Linked DNA regions of Ovis aries. The protein of the gene in region 5 interacts with the protein of the main gene of each other region in a biochemical or structural test. Links are inferred from orthologs where the notes say so. Each region holds a gene or a part of one and is shown on either strand. Other genes may lie near its edges.

Region 1 (3,500 bases), on a different chromosome or scaffold from region 5:
CTCTCTAGCTGCGGTACAGGCTTCTCACTGCAGTGGCTTCTCGTGAAGCATGGGCTCTGGGCGCATGGGCTTCAGCAGCTGTGGCTCCTGGGCTCCAGAGCACAGGCTCAGTGTCTGTGGCGCATGGGCGGAGTTGCTCCGTGGAATGTGGGCTCTTTCAGGATCAGGGATCGAACCCGTGTCTCCTGCACTGGCAGGAGAATTCTTAACCACTGAGCCACCAGGGAAGCCCTGATAGGGCTTAAAAAATATTCTTTTTTAGAAGGACTCTGGAGGATATTAATATTCTGAAATATTAACATATATTAAATAAGAAAATGCAATATTCATCTTTCTAACCTATTCAGTTATGGCATCACACTATAATCTCCATTCTCAGGAGGTCACTGTTAATTCTGGATAATGGCTTAGGTATCATCTTCGTTCCTTCTGAAGATTCTTTAGAAATCACGGGCAGTTTAATTAGCATTTCTCCTGAGCTGGAGGAAGAAGGATGATGACTTAAGATCCTTGATCTGAAGGGGACAGCAGTGGGAGAAAAGATGGCTGCTTGAAATCACTTCTTCAGGGATTCTGTGACAATGCAGGAACTTGACCTGGCCAAGTTTTTCAAATATTTATGTTTTAAAGTGTCATTCCGAACGTTTAGATAATGCTAAAGAGGACAAGGAACTGGTTTTCAGTTTTGAGAACTCACAATTGGAACCCCAAACAATAATACTCTTATTTGAAATCGGTATTTACTTATTTGACAAGTATGTCCAGGGGGCCGTCTAGGCTTAGGGTCTCATTCTTGAGGCCAGCAGGTACATTGAGATAAGTGCCCAGAAACTGGGAAGACAACATATTCCTTTTACAGCAGATGACTTCCAGGGAGGTGGCTTATGAAAGGGCTTCACTGTCCTGTGTTTTCTGATGTTTTTGTAATAAGCCTGTGTGCCAAGTTGCTTCAGTTGTGCCCGACTCTTTGTGATCCCATGGATTCTAGCCCACCAGGCTCCTCCGTCCATGGGATTCTCCAGGCAAGAATAGTGGAGTGGGCTGCCATTTCCTCCTCCAGGGGATCTTCCAGCCCAGGGATCAAACTAACATCTCTTATGTCTCCTGCATTGGCAGGCGGGTTCTTTACCACTTGTGCCAGCTGGGAAGCCCTTGGAGTGAGCCTGCTGCTGATAATCTGAATTATCTGAGGGGTCTCTGAATGTTTAAGTGTTCTCCTTCTGAGGGCTGGGCCATCACATGCCTGGGTGTCCTTTCCGAGGGCTGGGCCGCCACAAGCCCTAGTGGGGGCGGGTACTCACCCTTGGCCATGTACTCAGTGATGATGTAGATGGGCTCCTCCCTGGTGACCACGGCATACAGCCGCACCAGCTTGTCGTGCTGCAGCGTCTTCATGAGGTTGGCCTCCTCCAGGAACGCTTGCACAGACATTGTGCCTGGCTTCAGTGTTTTTACAGCCACTTTGGTGCTGTTGTTATAGTAACCTAGGGAGGGAAAAGAAGGGAGGTTATGATTCATCAAAAACTTCATGCAGACTTAGAAGAATATTTAGCTATAGACAGAAAAAACTTCTATAAACCCTATCGTGTTAACATTATCTAAAACCTTTAGGGACTTCCCTGGTGGTCCAGTGGCTAAGATGCTGAGCTCCCAATGCAGGGGACCCAGGTTTGATCCCTGGTCAGGGAACTAGATCCCACATGACACAACTAAGAGTTTGAGCCTTTGACTGTGTGGATCACAATAAACTGTGGAAAATTCTTCAAGAGATGGGCATGCCAGACCACTTGACCTGCCTCTTGATAAACCTGTATGCAGGTCAGGAAGCAACAGTTAGACCTGGACATGGAACAACAGACTGGTTCCAAATAGGAAAAGGAGTACGTCAAGGCTGTGTATTGTCACCCTGCTTATTTAACTTATATGCAGAGTACATCATGTGAAATGCTGGGCTGAAGGAAGCACAAGCTGGAATCAAGATTCCCAGGAGAAATATCAACAACCTCAGATATGCAGATGACACCACCCTTATAGCAGAAAGTGAAGAAGAACTAAACAGCCTCTTGATGAAAGTGAAAGAGGAGAGTGAAAAAGTTGGCTTAAAGCTCAACATTCAGAAAACGAAGATCATGGCATCTGGTCCCATCACTTCATGGCAGATAGATGGGGAAACAGTGGAAACAGTGGCTGACTTTATTTTTCTGGGCTCCAAAATCACTGCAGATGGTGACTGCAGCCATGAAATTAAAAGAAGCTTACTCCTTGGAAGGAAAGTTATGACCAACCTAGACAGCATATTAAAAAGCAGAGACATTACTTTGTTAACAAAGGTCAGTCTAGTCAAGGCTGTGGTTTTTCCAGTGTTCGTGTATGGATGTGAGAGTTGGAGTATAAAGAAAGCTGAGCACAGAAGAATTGATGCTTTTGAACTGTGGTGTTGGAGGAGACTCTTGAGAGTCCCTTGGACTGCAAGGAGATCCAACCTGTCCATCCTAAAGGAGATCAGTCCTGGCTGTTCATTGGAAGGACTGATGTTGAAGGTGAAACTCTGGTACTTTGTCCACCTGATGTGAAGAGCTGACCCATTGGAAAAGACCCTGATGCTGGGAAAGATTGAGGGTAGGAGGAGAAGGGGATGACAGAGGATGAGATGGTTGGATGGCATCATTGACTCGATGGACATGGGTTTGGGTGGACTCTGGGAGTTGGTGATGGACAGGGAGGCCTGGTGTGCTGCAGTTCATGGGGTCGCAAAGAGTTGGACACGACTGAGCGACTGAACTGAACTGAACTGAAGATCTCACATGCTGCAACTAAAAAGATCACGCGTGCTGCAACGAAGACCTGGTGCAGACAAATAAATAAGTGCTTAAAAATAATAATAAAAAGAAAAACAAAACCTATATATGTAACATTAGGGGGCTTCCCTGGTAGCAGCTCAGCTGGTAAAGAGTTCGCCTACAATGCAGGAGACACCGGTTTGACTCCTGTGTCAGGAAGTTCCCCTGGAGAAGGGATAGGCTATCCACTTGAGTATTCTTGGGCTTCCCTGGTGGCTCAGACGGCAAAGAATCAGCCTGCAATGCCGGAGATGTGGGTTCAATCCCTGGGTTGGGAAGATCCCCTGGAGAAGGAAATGGCAACCCACTCCAATATTCTTGCCTGGAGAATCCCACGGACAGAGGAGCCTAGTGGGCTACATACAGTCCATGGGGTCACAAAGAGTCGGCCATGAAATTGGTCGCAAAATGACTGAGCGACTAAGCACAGAACAGCACCTAACATTAGGGGCAACTGAGTAAAGGGTATATGAGAATTCTTTGTATTATCTTTATCAAAGAACTTAAAATTATTCTAAAATCAAAAGGTTTTTTTAATAAAACAATGGTAAACAAAGCTCCATATGCACTGTACCATTCTCTCTAATTAATTTGATTTTCTTAATTTCATTAGATTTTTTCTAATTGATAAAATGTTTTTATCCCAAGACAAAAAAGCCC
Region 2 (4,263 bases), on a different chromosome or scaffold from region 5:
AATAGAATCTAAAACAGTAGATATATGTATATGTATAACTGATTCACTTTGCTGTACAGCAGAAACTAAGACATTGTAAATTAACTATACTCCAATAAAAATAGATTAAAAACAAACAACCCCCTCCCCACCCAATATTGCACAGATTTCTCAGGGGGAAGTTTCCATATAAATACCTCTTAGTTTAATTTTTTTTTAAGTACTATGTATCCAAAAAAAGGCAGAAAAAGTGACTGGTATTTGAAAACTACAGTCAAAACTTAGTGGGCAGGAAAGGTAATATTATAGATTTTGAACATAGAAGCAGATGCCAATTCACTTATATTTCTCAGAGCGCTATATTTTGCTGAGGGGGTAGGGTAGGATTCTTGCCAAAATCATTAAGAAGAATGAATCTGAGCATGCCTTAGAGTAGAACTTTCAGTAAACAGGAATTACCTATAAAGAAAATCAGGAAGCTGAAGTGTTTGCTTTTTTTTTAATGAAGTTACATCCTGCCATAGAAATGCTGGATAGGAAATAAAGACTGATGCACTCCCAGTTGTATATTAAACCAGCTATTATTTCATCAAGGAAAATCTGAGCAAAAGCTCAGATTTAGAGAAGGAAAAAAACCACGGGAAGGCTGAATTCATGAGAAAACAAAGACAACCAATGGCTACAATTGAACATGCTTTTGGAAAAAGCTATACAAACAAACACCCACTCTGTGATTGCAGATTCCATAGTAGTCGCTTGCCCTCTCCACCCCTTACTCGTATTTCCCTAATACTTCCTGCAGACTTTGCTTATATATATATACATATATCAGAAGACTATCAGTTCATTCTAATTTATTCCGTTTTATCCCCTTCCTTTTCTTCCTCCCCCTCCTTATAATTACTGATAATATTAACCGCGCGTTTCCAGGTTTCTCTTTTTTCCAGGTTTCTGTGATGGGATTCTCCCTTGCTCCGCACTCTTCGGTTTGATCAGAGAAAACAATTTAATCATCCTAACAGTTTCCCAATTTATCCTCCCACCTTCAAATTAAAAGACAACAGAAAGGAAAGATAGCCCTTTCTCAAGGCAGGTTCCCATGGTTTTGAGGGAATGGCAGATGCCTTTCTGCAGTAGCGGCTGCAACCTTCTCCAAAGCAGAAACTGAAGCTCACACTCTCCTCTTCTTTCCTTACCCTAACCCACTACCTCAAGTCCACGTAAACCTTAAAAAACACACACGCACAACTCCTCCAATCTAGTATCCCCTCTCACACCCTTACACCACAAGCACGCCAGGATGCCCAATGCCACCGGAACGCTCTGCCCACTCGGTGGCCCCACCCATCGCCGCCCCGCCCCCGCTTCAACCACCAATGGTCGCCGCCCGCTGCTCCCGAGGGGCTCGTTGATTGGACAGTGGAGCCTGCCACTCTCGCGGGGCCTCCCGCCCTCCCTCACTCCCCGCTGGGGCTGGAGGGGCTGGAGCATCAGCGCGAGTAGCTCGGAGCAGCCGCGGCAGCGGCGGCGCGTCGTTGCAGTTGCGCCATCTGTCAGGAGCGGAGCCGGCGGGGAGGGGGCTGCCGCGGGAGAGGAGGAGGGGTCGCCGCGAGCCGAAGGCCGCCGAGACCCGCCCGCCAACCGGCCGAGGGAGCAGAAGAGAGGCTGCCCTCGGAGCCGCGCGTCCATCACCGCCCGGGCGCGCGGCGCTTCACCCCGCGCACCGAGGGCTCCCCAGGCGCACACAAAGCCGCCGCCCGCGCCTGGGAGGGATCCAGTCGCCGGGCCGGGGACACCCGGCGCCGCCCCCTGGGCACTCTCAGAAGGCCCACCGGCTCCCGGGCCCGCCGAGCAACCACCGGAGCCGCTTCGGCCGCGCCGGAGGAGGCGGGGAGTGGACCATGTGAATGGGCTCCGGAGCCTGAGCGCAGCGCAGGTAAGCGGCCGGGGATGCGCCGCGGGGCCGCGGGGATGCTGCGGAGATGCGGGCCGCGGGCGCCGAGCGCAGCGCCGCCCCCGCCGCGGGGCCCGGCGCTGCAGTCTCTTGGCCATCGTTGCCTCTGGGGCTCCCCGCGGGGCTGCCAGGGAGTTGGCCTTGCTTGGAGTCTTGCTGTGGTCGCTCCGGAGGACACCTCTGCGGGCTGCAGCCCCGAGGTAGCGCAGGGCTGGGGGGTCCATTTCCTCAGGGTGTGAATAGGGATTGGCTTGGGGGGTGGCTAGGCCGGCCCAGACTCCGCCTCCGCCCTCTTTTCGGGGCCCCCCGCGGGGACCCGGGCTGTGTGTGTTGTTTTAATGTCAGGGATGATGTAATCACTTAATAATTGATGCCCCGTGCTGCTTCCCTCCCCACCCCACTCCACCCCTGCCCCACTCCTCCACCTCTCGGCCTCCTCCTCCTGTGGCCGTCGCCTTTCCCATCGCATCCTCCAGCTTATTTCTGGCACCTCCCTTGCACTTCCCCCATCCTCCCCTCGACTCTTCCTGTGCCACCACCCACCCTTCCCCAGTCCCCCGTGCTGGAGCCTTAGCTCCTCTTCCTCTGACCCCTCCAACCCTCCTGCTCCCTCAGGCTCCTTTCTCCTTCCTTCTCAGCTCTCTGGATTTCCTCTCTACTTCCCTAGATCGATGACTGTTTTTGTTTGGTCGCCTCCCCTCTCTTATCTCTGCGGCCACAGGCGGAGGGGACTGAGCCAGAAAGAGGCCACCAGGCTTGGGCCTCGGCGGAGATTTGCTGGGACTGAGTGAGAAGAGGGATAATAAAATCACCCTTCTCGCCCCTCCTCCCACCAATAAATCACACAGACTCGCGGGGTGTGTGTGTGTATGTGTGTGTGTGACACAAAGAGCCCTTTCAGTGCACAGAGAGGAGACGCATAAAGTGCCCAAGGGTGGGCGCGATGCTTCTTGTTTCTCTTCCCTGGGGCTTCCCTTTTGCTCAGATAAAGCAGTTGATCTTCTCTCTGAGAGTCTTTCCTGCCACATTTACCAAAAAATAAAAGGCCCCAGATGCAGGGTGGCAGGTGCTGCCGTTTTGCTGTATTCATGGACCGGTAGTGTTGACTGGCGGCTGCAGTACTTCTTAGATTGAAGGGGGAATTGATTTCAGCTGTCTGAAGAGTTGCTTTACTCTCAGGGTAGCACCCTCCCTTGCCCAGTTTTAACTCCCTTTCATGGTAGGGGGTAGGATACATGGGTGTGGGAGAGGGAGAATTTTGTTTCCAAAAGAGAGTTATATTGATGTTTGCTAGGAGTGAGGCAGCCTAACTTGCTTCTCTCAAGTCTAAGGAGGACTGAAGTCATTTGAAATGAAGTCTTGTCCACCCAGTGATGGTTGTTTCACCCTTGTATTTAAAGAAGCTCCTGGGGACATTGCTAACACAGCAGTAAGTCGGTATTTGGAAGACTACTGGGGACTGTGTCTCTCTTGCCTGCTTCAGGGTACCCTTCAGACAGCCACTTCCTTCCTCTCACCGCCAAGCCACTGCCGTACTTTCCACCCTTTGTGCTCTTTCTCCCAAGTCCCTGCCCCTCTGCCCCTCGGGTCCTGTGCTTTCAGACAAGGGACTGATTTTTGGAGGAAGTGGTTTTGTTAATTGTCTCAGGTGTTGGAGGCACTTAGCTATGAGCGAAGAAGGTAGAGAATCTTTTGCCTGATCTCTTAAACCATCTGCTTGATGTTCCTCTTAAAAAGGAAATGTAAATGTAAATCTGGGGGCTTAATGTTCCATTCTGTAAGCCAGTGACTGTTACATGCTTAATCAATAATGTCAAAACTTAGGTCGAACCCATTGATTCCTAAGAGCATGGCTCTTTGACTGTTATAAGTAATAGAACTGTCTCAAGTTCTTCAAGAATTTTATTAGAGAAGAATTGTTATGGTTCATTAAACATTTACTCCTGCACTTTCTAAGGACATTCATCTTGGAACATTTTATATTTTAAAAAAAGCAAAAGGGTTAATGAGGGTAGTGTTCAAAACAAAAAAACAAAGCCTTGTTTGTTTGGCCAAACCCAGGAAAGAAAGTGCACAATAAGCTCACCCTCTGTTGACCGAGTTCAAGAGAGTGGTGAGGTTGAATGTGAACAAATGCATATTCTGCTTTCTGTACTTTTATTCTCTGCTTTCTCCTGGGTCTGAAATCTCCTAACCCCATCTGATTTGCTTGGGTTCTGTTAAACCTAAGGCCCAGCTCAAAAGTCTTCTACTCTGGGATGCTTTCTCCTCCTTTCCCCTTCAAGCAAATCACCATGCCTCCAATTTTGCTTTCACACTTCAGCAGCTGG
Region 3 (3,500 bases), on a different chromosome or scaffold from region 5:
CAAATACATAATGAATTAATAGAATCCTTCAAAAGAGACCATTAGCTAGAAAAAAAAAGCTCAAATTTCATCTTCTCCCTGGGCCTTGCTCTGGTACTAAATTTTGAACTGCCCCTAAAGGAGGAAGAATATAATGAAATTAAATGTTTAGCTATATTTAGACAGAAGTAATCAATTTTAAGATATCCCTTGGTTTTATTTTAACTTAACCCTGTGAATAATTCACAAAAATACACATACAGAAGCAAATAAAACTATACAGTCAAACTAAATATCCAGCAGATACAACAAGTAGTCAGAAGGTCAAAGATGGATAGTTGTTCAGTGGCTGATAAAGTTGTTCGCATAATTTAAAAATTCAACTTGGAATTAATGAATATGTTCAATGAAAGTATTCTAGGTTTTTTTTTTTAACATACAAAAGAAATTGGTCATTTATAAATGGTTGAATGGGTAACATGCATTGATCAGTACACAATGACCAATAATATTTATTGAATTCAAACTATTTACTGTTGTAAACATTAAACAAAAGCATTATGAGTTCTAAATACAGTCTTTGACAATTCCAACAAAATAAGTGGTACGTTTAAAAAATAAAGCTGATGAGCAATAGATCCACTCTATATATTTTCTTTCAACAGTTCCAGCAGAGATAGCACAGTTATTTTAAAAAAGTATACAGCAAGGATTGTTCCTATTGTAATGGCAAATTCTGGAAACTGTAAATACAAATAAAGTCATTGAACAGTCAGACGGTCATATTCCTAATTCAGGAAGAAGTAATGTAAGAACAGTCTGCAATCCAGTTATACTCAATTGTCAACAGAGAATGCTTTTTCATAGTTCTTTTCTCAAGAAACAGCAAAACTTTGGCAATTGAATGTATTGAAAATATATTTTCAAAGTTCAAGATACAGTCATAACATTGTGTGAAAGGTGATCTGTACACCAAGGCTCAGAGGTTGGTAAAGATAGCTTACAAAGCTGCTGGAGCAGTTACCAGCAGAATCTTGAGTTCTATTTGCATAGCTCACACATCACTGGAATGTGGAAAGGTGTGCTATTTTTTTGGCAAGAGCAAAGGAGACATTATACTGATGTGATTTACCATTTGGGGCATGCTGAATCCATGCAGAACACTGCGGCGAAGGCTGCTACCTGACATCGTTAGTTTTTGTATACTGGTTTTGTTTTTGCTGAAGCAGTTCTGTTATAGCCAGAAGCTTTTTCAGTACATGCTAGACAAGGAAAAACAATATGAAAATAATTAGTAAATGAATGAAAGCTCTGTCAAATCTCAGGGATGGGAAACCTGGATTTGAAAAATACCATATGAACTCAAAGGGATTCATAAAATAACATTACCATTCTACTCAAAAAAAAGCATACAACTGTAAGTATGTATTACTCAGTCCTTGATTAAATATTTCTGGTCATGTTATTTTGGTTGAGATATAATTTTTTACTCAACATCTTATCAGAAGACAGATTTATCATTATAAATGACACACCTCAAGCCCTGTAAGAGCACATAAGGGCAATCAGGCTATAGTCTAATGAATGCTGTAATCATGAATGACAACACTGGGCCTACAATTAAATCATTCAGCTCCTTTATCTTTCTTAGAAAGTCTTAATTGGGCCACATTCTCCAAAAAAATAATTTAAAAAAAAAGTATTTAAGGCAAGCCATATAATAAACCCAACTCCAGTGTAGCAGGAAGGCAATTTAGGTGCCAAGAGCATATAAGTAGGTCTATGGCACATATTCTGCCTGAGTTTCTAAAGTGATCGGAACCTAAGTGAATCGTGCTATTAGTATCTAAACTGGGAAGAAACGAGAACTGTAGAATCTCAGATTGAGGAGAACTCAGAATCACTGCAGTCAATGTGTTAACCCCTCCTAAGGCCCCTGCCGCATGTCAGCCACTGGTGACAGTGCTTCGTTTTTAAGGCCATATTCCAGAATCTCTGGATCTTGAAATGTTTTTATCAGTCTTAGAACACATGCATAATTCTCATGTGTTTGACAGTTTGCAGAGTTACCTGGCCATGCACGGTGTGTGTGTGACAGAAGCAGACAGAAAAACACTACATCACTACTGATTGACTGTTAGCTCACTTACCACTTCCATACATGCCACAAAGGGTATAAACACCTCCGTTTTTTCAGTAGAGTTCACATTAACTTAGAAGCAAGGTTTGACATTTTGTGGTATCAAAAATATGTAATCTTAATCTGGGCTCATCATTCCTGTTTGCTGAGATCTTTGTGGATTTTGATTCAGAGTCTTAAAATTTTAATTAGTAAAGTAAGACTAATTGTAGTTCAGCTGTTTATCAGCTCTCAAAGAATCTTATGCTGATATTGTGCTTACATGTAAAGAAATAATATTGTTAACAAAGGCTGGCAAAAACCTACCTGTTGTGCACCACGCTCATTACTGAGCGTCCGCAGTTCATCTGAATGGGCCACACAAATCTCATGCAATGCTGCTAAATCACGGGAAAGGTCAGTTCTAGAATGCTCTGTAGTGTCCGGAAGTTCAGGTACATTCTTTAAGGGAATCATAAAACTGGGTTTAGAAATATGACACTACTATCTCTTCTGAAAAGATCCTAACTGGTACAATAGATAAAATTTAATACATAATAATCTCTTAAAATTCAACTTGACAGATTTTATGACCTCAATATTCACACAAAAATCAGGTTTCATTTTCTTCAGTCACAGGACAAAATATCATGTAGTATTACTGCTATTCTAAGCAAATGGTTTTTCTAAATTTTAAATCTATGAAGAGTTTTTTTTTTTTTAAGAAAAAAATCTGGAGGGCAAATAATGCAAGCATTAACTCTTTAATATGGATTAAAGGCAACCCAAACTTAAAATTCCTATGCTCTTTCAGACTGACTTTCATGATTAAACTGGTATAATTTGTCCAAACTCATCAGCACATATAAGAGCTACATGACAGGTGTTAATGAGAACCATTCAGGTCTATAATTATCTGTGGACTATGCCACAAACACATAATTAACATATAGAAATCAGTGTTAATTATCTTAAGTTTCATAAAGTAATTTAGTGTCAATAAAGTACTACCAGACTAAATACTGATTTTACTGTTTCAAGTTCCACTACTTTGTTAAAGCAGCTAAAGCAGCAACAGACTGACATAGTGGTGAGGTGGGCAGCTAAGAAGATAATGAAAGACAAGACAGAAACTGAAAATGACACAAGAAATCCAAAAGCCACAATACTATATTCGTGGTGAAAACTACTTATCATAAGAATAAATGATTATCATTATAATCAAATGAAATAATTTGTTTAGGAAGGTAGACAAAAATATGCAGCTTTTGAATTTTTTTTTCAGTTCTGGATAGAAAAGCTTTTAGGTGTCAAAATACTTAAATTGTATACATACCCCTAGTTCATCTAAAAACATGATCATGCGATGTTTATTACTTTTGATGAATGGATTGACACCTTC
Region 4 (3,500 bases), about 4.0 Mb from region 5:
AAGATGGCTTAAAAAGCCCTGCAGACACTGTTCCCACCCAGTCCTCCAGGATCTGTTCCGCACTTCAGACTTTATGACCCTCCTAATCTGAACCACTTGGTGGTTTCCAGAAGTCATCATGTAGTTTCATTCTAACTCTCTTCCTTTTTTGTCACCTCTTCTTTCAATGTCTCTTCGTTTTTCTGGTCTCAGCTTAGAAATCATCTCCTCCAGAAAGCCTACCCTGATCACTAGTACCCTAGAGGCTGTGATTGGTGTTCTTTCCGTGCGCATAGTTCCTCAGGCTTCCCCTACATAGTAGCAGTTACCCAGAGATTGTTATTGTCCTGTCTCTTTCTCCAGTTAGACTGGCATTTCCCGAGGACAAAGACCAGTAAGATTCTTCTCTGGGTCCTGAGCCGGGGGGGCCTGATCACTTACGTGTTGTTCAGGATGTGGAACTTCTCGCCCTTGGTGAAGGTGAGATCATCCTCCGTTCGGGCCTCATAGTCATAAAGGGCGATGAACATGGTCACCCCAATCCCTGCAGAGTCAGGGTTACTCATCAGAGGGCTCCCGGAGGCTGCACCCCCAGAGTCCTGTTCCTCAGACAGGCTCTCTGCCTTTCCACTGCGGCAGTGCCCTGGAGCTCAAAGGTCTTTGGAATCCAGTGGATTTCTGATTTGGACCCTATGGATTGAGGACAGACACCATCGAGCTCATCCCTCCTCCCCTGGGGGCTCCCTGTGAGTCCCTTCTGCTCTCCCCCACCATGCAGACATCCCACTGGTAACTGTCTTCAGAGTCCTTTCATCAGACGGGGAACAGAGCTCTGTCTGCCCCTCAGATGGGAGTTTCTGAGGGTAGGGCTGGACAGGCTCCCTCAGACTGCGCTAAAAGCAGGGCTGTGTCTCCCAAGTCATCCTGGAGGTTCTGAAGGACAAGGCCAAGTCTCTTCTCCCCTGAGGTCCTGTGAGGGTCCAGTCAGTGCTTGCCTCCAGCCCCCTGGCCTCACCTGAGATGCCCCGGATGGTGCCCGCATCGAGGAAGGCGGGGCTGGCGGGCTGAGGGGAGAAGCTGTTGTAGTTGGGGATGTGGGAAAAGGAAGATGCAGGCCGGCTCTGAGTAGGGTCGGGGCCGTAGCGGTCTGCAGCCCCATAGTTCTTGAAGTCCCCTTCCAGACCATCATCCTCTTTGGCCCCCGGCTCCAACTTCTTGCAGAACACACAGCCCATGCCAGGTGCCCTGCTACAGAAGGGGGGCATGGTTCACTCAGGGGTCCACGTGAGACATATAGTGTGCAGAGGCGTGCAGCTGCCTCACTCAGGCCTGGCGGGGGGAGTTATCCCTAAGTGAGGGATAAAGGGGGGCAGGGTCTCCATTCTGTCCTCCCCCACAGCTGCTTTAGTGTTTCTGGAGAGTATATATCTCCTCCACAGGACTGGTTTTCTGTTTCAAGATGTTTCTGTGTTTATGTACATGTTTTTGCCTCCTATTGCTTCAGTGTGTTGGGTTTCTATGACCCCCCCTCAGAGTGCGTGCGTGTGTGTGTGTGTGTGTGTGTCTTTCATGTGTCTCTTAGTATTTGTGACTTTGCTCGTGGGTGCGTGTCTTTGTGTGTATCTAGGCAGCTCTTTGTGAATGTCTATGTCTGTGTGTATGTGAGTGTGTTCTTGTATGAAACGTCTCTGTGTGCTCATGTCTGTTGGAAAGTGTCCATACGCAGGCGTTTCTGTGTCAGCATGTATGTGTGTGTCTCTGTGTTTGCAGGTGTGTGTGAGTGAATGCGTCTGTGTGTCATGACCGTGCATGCAGCCCTGTGTGGGAGTATTTGTGCCTGCCTGCGTGTATCTCTGTGTGCAGGTCTGCGTCAGTCCGTGTGGGTATGTGCATGTCTGTGCATGTGCGCATGTCTGTGTGCCAATGCGTGTTTATGTGTGAGTGTGTGTGAGGCCTGTGTGCCTGCACCTGGAGAGTCCCTGCAGAGGGGGATCAAGGCCATTTCCTGTCGTGGGTCCAGCCTCTGGCCTTTCAAGCTGCCTCACTCTCGCTCCCCCATCTGTTACCTAGCAACAGGGCCCTTGTAGGAGGAAGGGGCTGTGAGGAATTGTGGGGCCCAGAAAGGCCACCGCCACCCCATTTCCTGACCCGGGGAGCCCTCAGCCCCCACTCACCCCTCAGGCCCCTACTCCTGCGTCAGAAGGGCTGTGGCATGGTCCTCAGGAGGGGCCGGAGACCTGAGGGCTGGACAGAGGACACAGAAGATGAAGTCCCTGCCAGGCTTCTGGCGGCCAGATGCCCACACGCGTCCTCTCCAGGGAAGCCAGGGGCCTGGGCTCTGCCCCGACAGGACTCCTCCTTCCTTTTCCTCCTGGCCTCCATGGCTCACTTAATCATCCACCCTCACACAAGACCCACCACCCACACCAGCCCTCTCACACTCATCTCCACCTGACACATCAGCACACGAGCAGCACACACAGCGGCACAGTCACCCGCGGCACTCACAGCACACCCCTGCCAAGCAGGCTCAGCAGCACCAGCACACAGCGACACAACCAACTCACACGAGCCCAAGCTCGCGGCACGGCAACGTGCACACACGCACGTGCACACAGGTTGCCCACTCAGGCTCACAGACTCGCACACTCATCTAAGCACATCTCGGGGTTAGACCCAGGTCTCTAACAGGATTTCTATCAGCCCTGTTCAGTTCCCTCTAGGCCTCTGGTCACTGTCTCCTAAAACCAAGCCCTCCCTCTGAGCTCTGCCTTGGCACCCCTCCCTGGTCTGGGTAAACCCCAGCAGTCCCAGGACTACATTGAATAGTCGAGGGAAGATGGACACCTACCTCCAGAGCCACCTACCTCCAGAGCTTGTTCCACACCACGGAAAGGCCCAGGTCAGAAGTCAGGACCACCAGGTCCCTTGGGAAGCCCCCAAGGGAGCCAAGGCTTTCCCGGTAGCTGTGTCTTCTGAGTGACAAGGCAAGCAGGTCATTGAGCAAGGGCTTTCCACACCCTGCCAGAAACTCTGCCATTGCAACACTCAGAGAGGAACTGCCGGGGAAAGGGCTCGACTTCCTCAGATGTGAGCTCTGCTGCTGCTGCTGCTAAGTCACTTCAGTTGTGTCTGACTCGGCAGCCCACCAGGCTGGGATTCTCCAGGCAAGAACACTGGAGTGGGTTGCCATTTCCTTCTCCAATGCATGAAAGTGAAAAGTGAAAGTGAAGTCACTCAGTCGTGTCCGACTCTTAGCGACACCATGGACTGCAGCCTACCAGGCTCCTCCGTCCATGGGATTTTCCAGGCAAGAGTACTGGAGTGGGGTGCCATTGCCTTCTCCGGATGTGAGCTCTAGGGTGGGGCCAACCCGGTGTGCCTTCATTTCTCCCAGAGGACCCTCAGGACAGGTGTCCCGCCTCGCCTTTCTCGACTCCTGAGTCTGGTTCCCTTCTCCTCTCTATGGGTCCTGCCCACCTGTCCAGCCTGCACCACTCACCTCTTCCAGGAAACCTTCC
Region 5 (3,500 bases):
CTTACTGCTTTAAGTAGACTCAGAATTTTGCCTTTATTTAAAAGAACAAAGCTAAATTAAATTTCTGTTTGTCCTATTCAGAAATTGAGAAGATTCAGAAAGGGGATTCAAAAAAGGACGATGAGGAGAATTACTTGGATTTATTTTCTCACAAGAACATGAAGCTGAAGGAGAGGGTTCTGATACCTGTCAAGCAGTATCCCAAGGTAAGGGAAAGAGTGCCTCATTTCTTTGAATTGGCTTCGTAGTATGAGAATGTGTAGTATGTGGTGTGTCTTGTAGCACCAGCTGTAACAAAAGATTTGCAGAGGTTGTGGGCCTGGTGAAGGTTCTGTCCCATGCTTATAATGACTGTATCCAGCAGGCAAGACACACAGGCCTGCAACTAAGAGCATAGCTACAGCCAGGAAGGAAATGCGACCATCTTTTTATTATCAAAAAAGGAATTTCTTTCTCAAATGTTTGTTTAGCTTCAAGCTTAAAGGAAAAAAATTGAACCGTAATTGTTCTTTGTCGAAAGATTGAGCTGAAGTTTAAATAAAAGAAATACAACACAAATCCTTGTGACACAATGAATAAGTTAATTTTATTTCTTACTCAAAGTTTTTTTGCTCTTGTTTGTTTTTGATTTGGGGTATACTGCTTGTGGTATCTTAGTTCCCTGACCAGGAATGGAACCTGTGACCCTTGCAGTGGAAGCACATGGTTTTAACCAGTGAACCTCAAGGGAATTCCCAAAGTTTCACTTTTAAATAAATGGTTTCTACTACTACTCCTTTTATAAAAAAACAAACTAGTTTTAGTCAGACCAGTACTACCAAAGGGGGGTAACGTATGTCTGTTCTGTTCTAAAGTAACTGCCTTAAAAACGTTTATGTATGTTAAATTACAAAGAGTTGTGGAGTGATAATTTGGAAAGAACATCATACTACATCAGGAATTCAAGTTCCAGAACTGCCGCTTTGCAGTTTTGTGCCATGCCATGCTCAGTTGCTCACTCATGTCCAACTCATTGTGACTGTAGCCTGCCAGGCTCCTCTGTCCCTGGGGTTTTCCAGGCAAGAATACAGAAATAGGTTGCCGTTTTCTCCTCCAGGGGGTCTTTGCAACCCAGAGATTGAACCAGCATCTCCTGCATTGGCAGATGGATTCTTTACCACTGAGCCACCCAGGAAGCCTCTTTCCAGTTGTATAACCTTTGGCTAATCAATTTTATCAGTACCACTTCAGTATATCCTTCAGTAAAATGGGAGTGGTTAGTACTCTACTTCCTTTACAGGAAGTATTGAAGATAAATAATACATATAGAAATATTTTATAGGAACATACACATTTAGAAATCTGTCTTTATTTTCTATCAGTTCAATTTTGTGGGAAAGATCCTTGGACCACAGGGAAATACAATCAAAAGACTGCAAGAAGAGACTGGTGCAAAGATTTCTGTGTTGGGAAAAGGCTCAATGAGAGACAAAGCCAAGGTAAGCTCACATTAATGAGGCAAGAAGACACCCGAATGCCTTCCAGTAACCTAGAGTCCAGTATGGATACCTATGGAAGCTAGTTCTTACGTGTGTACTGAAAGTGATTCCCTTAAATTCGCATTGGATGTGAGAGATTGTAGACCAGTTAATTTACTTTGGCAACCCAAGAAGAACCTTGGTATGCCCTGGTGATTGTTTTCTTTCTGACTTGACTGTGTAGTAATGGAAATAGCAGTAGCAGCTTTGGCCTTTAGTAAGCTTATCTAGGAAAACTTGGAAGGGGAGGCTGAATGTACTGAAACTTACCCAGCTAAAGACACTAAATGTGAAGAGCATTCTGTTTCCAGTTAGTGTGGGAAAATGTGAGCAATAGTGTTGTGAGTGCAGGTGAGTTTGAAGATTAGTTGGCTGGTTTGTTTTATAGCCAGCTGGAATGTGAGGCATGCTAAAGGAAGATGTCACAGAAGGAACCATGAGAAATCCTGACAATAGAATCCAGAGCTTATTTTTCCCCAGGCCATAGCCCCGTATTCTTTATACTCTCTCTAAGTGTGGAGAAACTTCCCACCAAAATAAAATAGTCTTAGCTTTCTAGAATCAGCTTTTTAGATGGGATATAACCTGCTCCAGCCTAAAAACTTAACTCTTTCAGGCCTCCTTGTATGCAGCCTGATTGATGAGCATTTAGGGCTGAAGTATAATACTCTGTTTAATGAGGTGTACATGAGATTTTCTTCTATTGTGACTTTTTTCCTTCTCTATACAAGCAGATCAGAAGAGCTGGTGATTAACAGCTCTACCTGGGGTTTATTAATAAAAGCAAATGCTTGGCAATTAATGAATGAGTGGATGGATGCTTGGCAAACAGCCGTTATCCGAATGGAGACTGGAATTACATTTGTCTCTTCTGTGCCTTCTAATATGAGCTCCAATGAACACACCAGCAATTCAGAACAACAGCTTTTAGCAGCAGACCAATCGCAGGTTTAGCAGACTGTGTAAATTACTGTACTCCAGAGTTTACTTTTTTCTTACACTTTACTGGGTTTTTCTGAGGTGTTGGAGTCATTTCTTACTGTCCCTTTGGCCTAATGGTAAAGGTGTCATTTTCTACATAGTCCAAGTGATAATGTTGTTTCTGTGCATTTTTTCACAGGAGGAAGAGTTGCGCAAAGGTGGAGACCCCAAATATGCCCACTTGAATATGGATCTGCATGTCTTCATTGAAGTCTTTGGACCCCCATGTGAGGCTTATGCTCTTATGGCCCATGCTATGGAGGAAGTCAAGAAGTTTCTAGTACCAGTAAGGAAATCCATATCCTGTATCATTTGAGCAAGAGAAAACTAGGATCTTGTGCTTATTGCTAAGGCAGGGGTTCTTAACCAGGGTCTCTGCATAACCTGAAATTGCATATCCAATTCTGCATTTATGTTCATTTTTCTGAGGTAGTCCATTACTTGCACCTAGTTCTCAAACCACTGTGCCCCGAGGCCACTCTACCAGTCCTAGTTTTAATGTGATTTTAGTTGTATGCCAGTATCTTTTGTCAATATCTTGGATCCACAGTATGTCTTGGCATTCCAACATTTGGTTAACAAAGATTTAACAAGGTCTTCAATAAATTAAGTATTTTGGTGCTAGTATGGAACCAGGAGATTATGACAGGAAAATGGTGAAGGTGGTTGTAACCCCCCTGCAGTTAAGGGGTTATAGTATAGACTCCTGAGAGTCTAGATGATGATAACAGTATCATCTAGTCTGATGATGTGTTATCTGGCCTCCAGTGTTAATGGGTTAAATTCTGACCTGAGTGCATTCAAGACTCTGTCCTGGAGGAGTTTACTCAAGTAGAGTTGATTTGAAGGAGGCATGATGGTTGTAGGCGTTAACTGTTAATGACGTTAAACAGATTGGTATATAGCTTCTTTCAGAATGTATTTAAGGCCTTGGAAGAGTTGGAACAGACCAGGTTACCTGTCTTCCTTATTACCACCTGGTCAGAGGTTATTCATTCTTTG
Region 6 (3,500 bases), on a different chromosome or scaffold from region 5:
ATGAAACAACTGGCACACAGTCCCAGGTTGTGTGGGTGTGGGGCCAGAATGACACTTACCAAATGACCACACATCTGACTTGCTGCTGTAGCGACTGAAGGAGAAGACTTCTGGAGATGCCCACTTCACTGGGAATTTGGTGCCTGTGGAACTGGTGTATTGGTCATCAAGGACGAACCTGGGAAGAGAGAGGAGAGAGATGGTCCGAGTGTCCTGGGGGCCTGCGTCCCATTCCTGAGACTTTGCTGGTACCACATCCCCATGTTACCTTGTCATCCCAAAGTCGGACACCTTGATGACTTGGTTTTCCCCAACTAAACAATTCCGGGCAGCCTGGAGCAGAGACAGGCAAACAAAAGGGAAAAGAAAACTTGGTGAGTAATCAGTAATTAAGGAGTCTCCTATAATCACAGTGCTTTGCTTATATGGGAGCAATAAGGAGCTTCACAAATGTTAATTAAGCATCACTAGTGCGCGATGGAAACTGAATGCGTAAGCTCTTTTTATCAGGGTGAGTAAATCTCATCTTTCATCTTCATTCCTGGGATCCTAATCAAAAAAGAAATCCATGGTGTTGTGTAACCAATTATAAGCTCCAGTGCAACCTGATGTGAATCTTAGGGATGGTATGGAGAAGCTGTCATCCATTTGACTAAAGTGAGAATGTATTGAGGTTGCTAATTCTCTTAAAACTATTCCTCAATGGGGAGATGACATGGTCCCTAACTCACATCACAGAGTCTTGGATTTGAAGATCCCTTACTGATAAAAGATCCAGTGAGTCTTAAATTCTAATGTGCCTGCAAATTCCATGGGGTAGACATGTTAAAATGAATATTCCTGCGCCTCAACCACCAGAAATTCTGAGGTTGGTTCTAGGATCACCCCAATGCGATCCTGATAGATCCTTGGATAACATTTTAAGAAAGCATGTGCTTGTCAACTTCTCTCATTTTACCAAGAGGATGTGGAGACATAGAGAGGTTAAGGAGGAGCCGCTGTTAGCTTCATTTTGGAAGAATGTAAACTCCAACTTAGAGAGTGGAAGTTAGAGGTGGGGCTGGGAATAGAGCCCAGAACTGAGTCCCATGAGGCTCTCCCACATGGGTGGAGGAAGGAAGAAGTTGCAACGGGGAGGAAGAAAGCTTGTGCCTTTTTATTGATTCGTGCCGTTCCCAGACTTGGTAGTTCTGCATTTCAGTGGGACATGCCCCTTTACCCTGGACTTGTAGGGTTTTGCCCTGCATCCTCTTACCAAGTCTCTGTGGATGACACACTTCTCTTCCAGGTAGGCCATGCCCTCACATACGTCCAGACACATGCCCAGCAGGGTCTCCGCGGCAAAGAGCCCCCTCTGGCTACGCAGGTAATCTGACAGGCAGCCGTGTTCCATGAACTCAAACACCAGGCAGATGGGGGCCTGTTCCAGGCATACTCCATAGAGCTGGACTAGTTTGGGGTGAGAGAGTTTCCTGGAGAACAATGGCAAGAGTTGAGATGGTCTAAATTCAGTTTCCCAAAATACACTCCCTCCCTCAAACAAAAATGTCTCATTGAGCTGAAGAATGGCGCGGACTCAGCTGGTGTGTGTGAGGACAACGAAGGTCAGTGTGACTGGCATGCATGGAACCAGAGGAGAGATGGGTAGGAGATGAAGTTAAGGAGTGGGCAGGGCCAGACCATGGCAGGCGTTCTAGACCACAGTGAGGAGCTTGGTGTTATTCTCCATGCCATAGGAAGCCATCGCTGGACTTGGGCAGGGAGGTGGCATAAGACGACATTAGAATGGTATTGAAAGATCACAGTGCTCTCTGTGTGGCCACTCACATCATGACTTCAGCCTCCTCAATGAAGTCCTCTTCTGACATAGCCCCTTCTTGAATGGTTTTGATGGCCACCTTGTCCTTGTTGAGCCAGTAGCCAAGATGCACCAACCCAAACTGCCCACTGCCAATCTCCTGCACAAAAGTGAGCTCTGAGGGATCAATCACCCATTTCCCTGGAACAGAAAGAGAGGGTTTTCCAGAGTTGGCAAGCAGTAGATATGAGGTATAGGACTACCAGGAAACTATACTGCTCTATATAGAATGTTAGACTATCGTTAATGTAGCTCAAAGATGGCAAATGGTATAAGCCCTCATACTTAGAACTATAGATAGGTAAAATTATCTTTTTCCCAAATAATTACATAGAATGTGCACTGAAAACCATGAAAAAATGTGTGTGGGGACGATCACATGGAAAGAGGACGGAGGACGGCATTAGTTGAGATATTAAAGTCAATGAAAGGGTTCTAAGGTCCCAATCATCTCCTATACCTAATCGAAAATTGTTCTTGCCATTTTTCATGTAGAGCAAGTTTTATTTGAATTGGTCATTCATTCATGCATTTATCCATCAAGAGCATCCATTTTGTAGACAGCACTTGTTAGGCCTTAGCGGAGGTAAGGCAGTGGATTCCAGGTGGAGTGGTACAGAGGTGCAGGCCAGCACACGGCCTAGCACAAGGCAGGCTCTCAACAAATGCTCAGCAAGTGAATAAAAGGGATCTGAGTCTCAACCTCCATGCTGACAGAAATGAATGGGTTCATAAAATACTCTCTGGGCTTCCACCCAGCATGAACACATTAGGATTCTACAGGTATTGGAGTTACTTTGTTTTTGTCAGGAGGCTGAGGGGCACTATCCTCTCCTGGCGCTTGGTCTAGTACCATAAACAGTTCAGTTTCTACCTCTCTGAGGCAGAGACTCAATAGGAAGCAGTACCAAGAACCCACAGTGTGCAGACATGGCGCTGGTTACAGATGAGGAGCCCACAGCGACATTTCTCAAAGTATCACCCTCTAACCCCTGGTGTCAGAATCACCCAGGGCACTTGCTGAAAATGCAGCTCCAGGACCCAACTGTCAGGGATTGCGTTTTGGTAAGTGCTGGGTTGGGGCTGGGAGTCAATACTTTTCATAAGCATCCTAGATAACTTGAATGCCCACCGAAGTTTGAGGACCACCAACATAAAAGTTACAACATGAAAGTTACATCAGCCTTCTCCTCGGCCAGCACAGTTGGGATCAGGGTATGTTTGCATCCCCAAATGCCTTCAGGTTCCAGGCAGAAAGTACAAGGGGGTGAAGCGGTTTCATAGGGAAGGAAGGAAAAGTAAGGTCCATGGCCCTGGAGATGTATGCCCTGTCTAAAAGCATTCAAAAAATTTTAACACAGTGCTATGTGGACACACACTTCTGGATGCTGCTAGCTTATAGCACCTGCAAGGGACTGATAGCCAATAAACCAGATGATACAGAAGTTCTAGAAGATAGGCAGGAACACAGTGGTGTAGCATTGGTTTCTCACAGCACTGAGTGGAATGCTCTGTACAGAGCAGGTGGTCAGCGAACACTTCATTGATATGACCTAGATAAATGTGCATCTGTCTATCTATCTATCTTACACACATTGTAAATGTTCATTTGTGTATACCATCTCCAGATATATAATGTACT
Region 7 (3,500 bases), on a different chromosome or scaffold from region 5:
CAGTTTGTAAAAGCAGCACATGAAAGTTGGAGATGGACTGTCTATTAATGCCTAAAAACTCAAATTTACTTGTCAGGGTATTTGCCAGTTCTCCAATCTGAAACTGTAATGCAGGAAAGAAAAAAAGGAAAAATTAATAAGAGTCAGAATATTGTAAGCACAGTCTTTCATTTCTCATTGCAGACACTAGAAAAATGGATCTGCCTACAAGGCGGGTCCATATTCTGCACCTAGTTATGCAGAAGATAAAACCTGACTTACAGTGAAATAATTCACACAGAAAGAATAAATAGTGACGCAAGGTCTAGAGAAACTGGAGGCAGTACCTACGCTAAAACAATATGGAATTTGAAAAGAGATCCTAAATGACATGACTCCTCAATACTGTCCAAACCACCACGCATCCGTCACTAATTGCTTATGCCAGCCATACACTAAACAAAATGGGTTCTCCCAATTCCACCCGCACAGCTGTACTACCTGCTGACTGGATGGACTTTTTAAAGTCGAAACAATAGGCGAAGTGGTTTTCCTAACAGACCACGCTTAAAGAGCCACATACTTACTTGGTCCAATTCTTCTCATGACATTAGCAACAGAAATAAATATGGAACCAAGCATGCCTTTTGTGTAAGGGCAAGTATTGGGTTGGACACAAAGTTCGTTCTGGTTTTTCCGTAAGCTGTTACAGAAAAATCTGAATGAACTTTTTGGCTAACCCAATAGTTCATGCAAGTTAACTCTGTTATTTAAATTTGTGACTTTAGTTTCTTTTAATGCTTCCAAACTAGAGAGGCCTATATTTGATAAGCTACTGCTTTCCAATGGAGACTTACTTATAAGTAGTTAAGCATTTAGAATTTATTTTTAGATTTCCCTACATCAAGTCAGTCTCCTTATTTCAGCCTTAAATGTATCTTTTTCACTCAACCAAATGATTTATATTATAAAGACAACAAAGATTACTTTTTTACTACTATCCAGAAGAATAAGTTTACTACTTTCTAGAAAAAAAAAAATAGCCTATTTAAAATGGTTGGCCAATTTAAAAATATTACTTGTCAAGTTGCATTAAATAATGTACATACTTTCAAGTCCTGTTCTTCTTCTACTTTAGGTACTGTCTGTACTTTTAATTTTTCTGGAGATTCTTCTGCTTCCATCTCTTTATCTGAGTTTTCATCCATTTTTTCTGAATTTTCAGCACCAACTGCTGCAAGAGAAAATATGAGAAATTAAATCAGAAGGACGATAAACAAAAAGGTCTTACTCTACAGTGCAGGGGATTATACTCCATATCCTGTGATAAACCATAATGGAAAATATTAAGAAAAAAAAACCAGAATGTCTATATGTATATAACTGAGTCACTCTCCTGCATAGGAGAGGCTGACACAAAACTATAAATCAACTATATTTCAAAAAAAATGTTAAAAAAAAAAAAATCAGACCAGTACTAATAGAGCCCCAAATATACGTTCTTATCCCTAGAGCAGAGGTATCTGAAGGTTATTAGTGCTCTCCTTTGCCTATTTTCCATACATGTTAAGGAAGCTCTAATGACTTACCAACCTACTGTCTTTATAAAGCAAAAAAAAAAAAATTATTTCTTTATAACAGGGGTCCCCTATCTTGAGGGTCTAATGCCTGATGATCTGAGATGGAGCTGATGTTAAAAGTAATAGAAATAAAGTACACAATAAACATAACTTGCTTGAATCACCCAGAAACCATCCTTCATCCTCCCCGCCCCCAACTAGGTCCAAGGAAAAATTGTCTTCCACAAAACGGTCCCTGGTGCCAAAGAAGTTGGGGAGACTGCTTTATAATCACATTTCTTAAAATGTATCTACATATAGGATTTACTTGTTTTAATCACATTACCCAAAAGTTTCTGCTTTTCCTTTCTCCATCTATTAATCTTTTCTGATCTTTTTTTGGGTCACACTTAGTGGCTTGTGGGATGTTAGTTTCCTGAACAAGAATCAAACGTGTGGTCCCCTGCAGTGGAAGTGCAAAGTCCTAACCACTGGACCACCAGGGAAGCTCCTTTTCTGATCTCTTTCAAAAACCCATGGCTTCAATTACTTATGAAGGCTAGATATCAAACCTGGAATATGTGAGGATTCTTTATGAAGGGGGTTTTGATAAAAAGGCTTCCATAATCAGAACAGCATATTAAACTGGGAGTTAAACCAAATAACTCCCTTCTTGGCTAACACCTGTAGACAACCTTTATTGGACCTACTTATTCCTCTGGTTAGTGCTATCTGCTGGCAGTGAGAATCTCCATAAGAGAACAGGTTTACCACATATTTAAATGGACTAAAAGTTCATAAGAGATATGAAGTCTTTGTTATATTTGGTAAACACCTGCTTATCAAACTAATCCATATATCCAGTATAAATCACTCTCATGAGGATCATAGATAAAAAGAAAAAGAACAAATTTGAGTACTCTTTCTTAACTTCAGTTAATCTTTGATCTAAAGAAGAAATGTGACTTTAACACCAGTCTCAACAGCTTTCATAAAAAGTCTGAAATTTAGTATTAAGTACTAAACCTTATCATACGATGGCCTTGTTCTTTTTATTTGATCATTTACATTCCTTCTGAATTTTCAAACTGTCTAAAACTAAATCTTTCTACTCTCCCATTGACTAGTTTCTAGTTTATTTATACATCAGACATCTTACATTTAATGACAGGTTTAAGAATTCAACAATTTCAAAGAACTGCTAGAGCTCTAAGATATGATTATTTTGGAGGGCAATTAGGCAGGATTTATCAAATTAAAATGCACATACCCCTTAACCTAGCAATATACCACTAGCAGTCTATACTATACTAAAACCTGCATAAACACAGATGTCCCAAGATGTTTGCTAAGCTTCATTTTAATTGTGAAGTATCATAACTAACGAGTATAATACATAAAGAACATGAGCCCTTCAGTAAGTACAACTCAGCTTAACAGAAGACCATTTAGTAACACCTTAAAGCTCCCTGTGCCTCTCTCCCATCATGCTCACACCAGACACATCCTGGTGATGTTAAGAAGCGCCTGCACCTTCATCATGGACAGATCCTGAAGCACAGTAGTTTTGCTTGTTTTCCAATTCACATAAATGGAATTCTAACATGCATTCTTCTGTGGCTTTTGAAACTCAACATTATTATTTCTAGTGATAATTCATGTTGATGCATGTAACAATGGACCATTCACTTTTCACTGCTATTCTGTATTCAATTTCAAAAACACATCACAATTTATCCACTATTCTTTAGGTGGACCTTTGAATAGCTTGTACTTTTTTGGGATAATATAAATGCAGTATTACTTTTAACAGTGGAATGAGGATACAAATGGTGACCAATGAGGGAAGAGTTACATGAAGACATCTGTAACACTCAGTAGTGAAAAACAATCATGTTGTTTAACAATTTATATGGTTAACCTCACCTATGTTAAAATTTACATACGCCCACTTCACAAACA

Evidence for each region.
Region 1: the proteins of KHDRBS1 (region 5) and LYN form a complex in vitro, tested with the Homo sapiens proteins (3 studies listed by BioGRID and IntAct, with this or other methods). The link is inferred for Ovis aries from reciprocal best matches to the Homo sapiens genes KHDRBS1 and LYN.
Region 2: the proteins of KHDRBS1 (region 5) and FYN form a complex in vitro, tested with the Homo sapiens proteins (4 studies listed by BioGRID and IntAct, with this or other methods). The link is inferred for Ovis aries from reciprocal best matches to the Homo sapiens genes KHDRBS1 and FYN.
Region 3: the proteins of KHDRBS1 (region 5) and RASA1 form a complex in vitro, tested with the Homo sapiens proteins (2 studies listed by BioGRID). The link is inferred for Ovis aries from reciprocal best matches to the Homo sapiens genes KHDRBS1 and RASA1.
Region 4: of the proteins of KHDRBS1 (region 5) and FGR, one has a biochemical effect on the other in vitro, tested with the Homo sapiens proteins (2 studies listed by BioGRID, with this or other methods). The link is inferred for Ovis aries from reciprocal best matches to the Homo sapiens genes KHDRBS1 and FGR.
Region 6: the proteins of KHDRBS1 (region 5) and ITK form a complex in vitro, tested with the Homo sapiens proteins (4 studies listed by BioGRID, with this or other methods). The link is inferred for Ovis aries from reciprocal best matches to the Homo sapiens genes KHDRBS1 and ITK.
Region 7: the proteins of KHDRBS1 (region 5) and FNBP4 form a complex in vitro, tested with the Homo sapiens proteins (2 studies listed by BioGRID and IntAct, with this or other methods). The link is inferred for Ovis aries from reciprocal best matches to the Homo sapiens genes KHDRBS1 and FNBP4.

What each region holds. Positions count from the first base shown.
Region 1 is NC_056062.1:36,204,287-36,207,786, reverse strand, and holds part of LYN (tyrosine-protein kinase Lyn), read right to left. Parts: intron 1,485-3,500; coding exon 1,302-1,484; intron 1-1,301. UniProt on the Homo sapiens protein: Non-receptor tyrosine-protein kinase that transmits signals from cell surface receptors and plays an important role in the regulation of innate and adaptive immune responses, hematopoiesis, responses to growth factors and cytokines, integrin signaling, but also responses to DNA damage and genotoxic agents.
Region 2 is NC_056061.1:25,879,285-25,883,547, forward strand, and holds the start of FYN (tyrosine-protein kinase Fyn), read left to right. Parts: upstream 1-1,463; 5' UTR 1,464-1,915; intron 1,916-4,263. UniProt on the Homo sapiens protein: Non-receptor tyrosine-protein kinase that plays a role in many biological processes including regulation of cell growth and survival, cell adhesion, integrin-mediated signaling, cytoskeletal remodeling, cell motility, immune response and axon guidance.
Region 3 is NC_056058.1:84,650,801-84,654,300, reverse strand, and holds part of RASA1 (ras GTPase-activating protein 1), read right to left. Parts: coding exon 3,435-3,500; intron 2,561-3,434; coding exon 2,426-2,560; intron 1,441-2,425; exon of another isoform or gene 1,242-1,440; coding exon 1,158-1,241; 3' UTR 1,112-1,157; exon of another isoform or gene 1-1,111. UniProt on the Homo sapiens protein: Inhibitory regulator of the Ras-cyclic AMP pathway. Stimulates the GTPase of normal but not oncogenic Ras p21; this stimulation may be further increased in the presence of NCK1.
Region 4 is NC_056055.1:239,424,390-239,427,889, reverse strand, and holds part of FGR (tyrosine-protein kinase Fgr), read right to left. Parts: exon of another isoform or gene 3,482-3,500; intron 2,955-3,481; exon of another isoform or gene 2,831-2,954; intron 2,224-2,830; 5' UTR 2,154-2,223; intron 1,228-2,153; 5' UTR 1,215-1,227; coding exon 995-1,214; intron 524-994; coding exon 421-523; intron 1-420. UniProt on the Homo sapiens protein: Non-receptor tyrosine-protein kinase that transmits signals from cell surface receptors devoid of kinase activity and contributes to the regulation of immune responses, including neutrophil, monocyte, macrophage and mast cell functions, cytoskeleton remodeling in response to extracellular stimuli, phagocytosis, cell adhesion and migration.
Region 5 is NC_056055.1:235,455,258-235,458,757, reverse strand, and holds part of KHDRBS1 (KH domain-containing, RNA-binding, signal transduction-associated protein 1), read left to right. Parts: intron 1-81; coding exon 82-206; intron 207-1,361; coding exon 1,362-1,478; intron 1,479-2,637; coding exon 2,638-2,784; intron 2,785-3,500. UniProt on the Homo sapiens protein: Recruited and tyrosine phosphorylated by several receptor systems, for example the T-cell, leptin and insulin receptors. Once phosphorylated, functions as an adapter protein in signal transduction cascades by binding to SH2 and SH3 domain-containing proteins.
Region 6 is NC_056058.1:66,503,356-66,506,855, reverse strand, and holds part of ITK (tyrosine-protein kinase ITK/TSK), read right to left. Parts: intron 2,000-3,500; coding exon 1,828-1,999; intron 1,473-1,827; coding exon 1,256-1,472; intron 334-1,255; coding exon 269-333; intron 179-268; coding exon 60-178; intron 1-59. UniProt on the Homo sapiens protein: Tyrosine kinase that plays an essential role in regulation of the adaptive immune response. Regulates the development, function and differentiation of conventional T-cells and nonconventional NKT-cells.
Region 7 is NC_056068.1:76,423,842-76,427,341, forward strand, and holds part of FNBP4 (formin-binding protein 4), read right to left. Parts: intron 1,214-3,500; coding exon 1,089-1,213; intron 104-1,088; coding exon 1-103.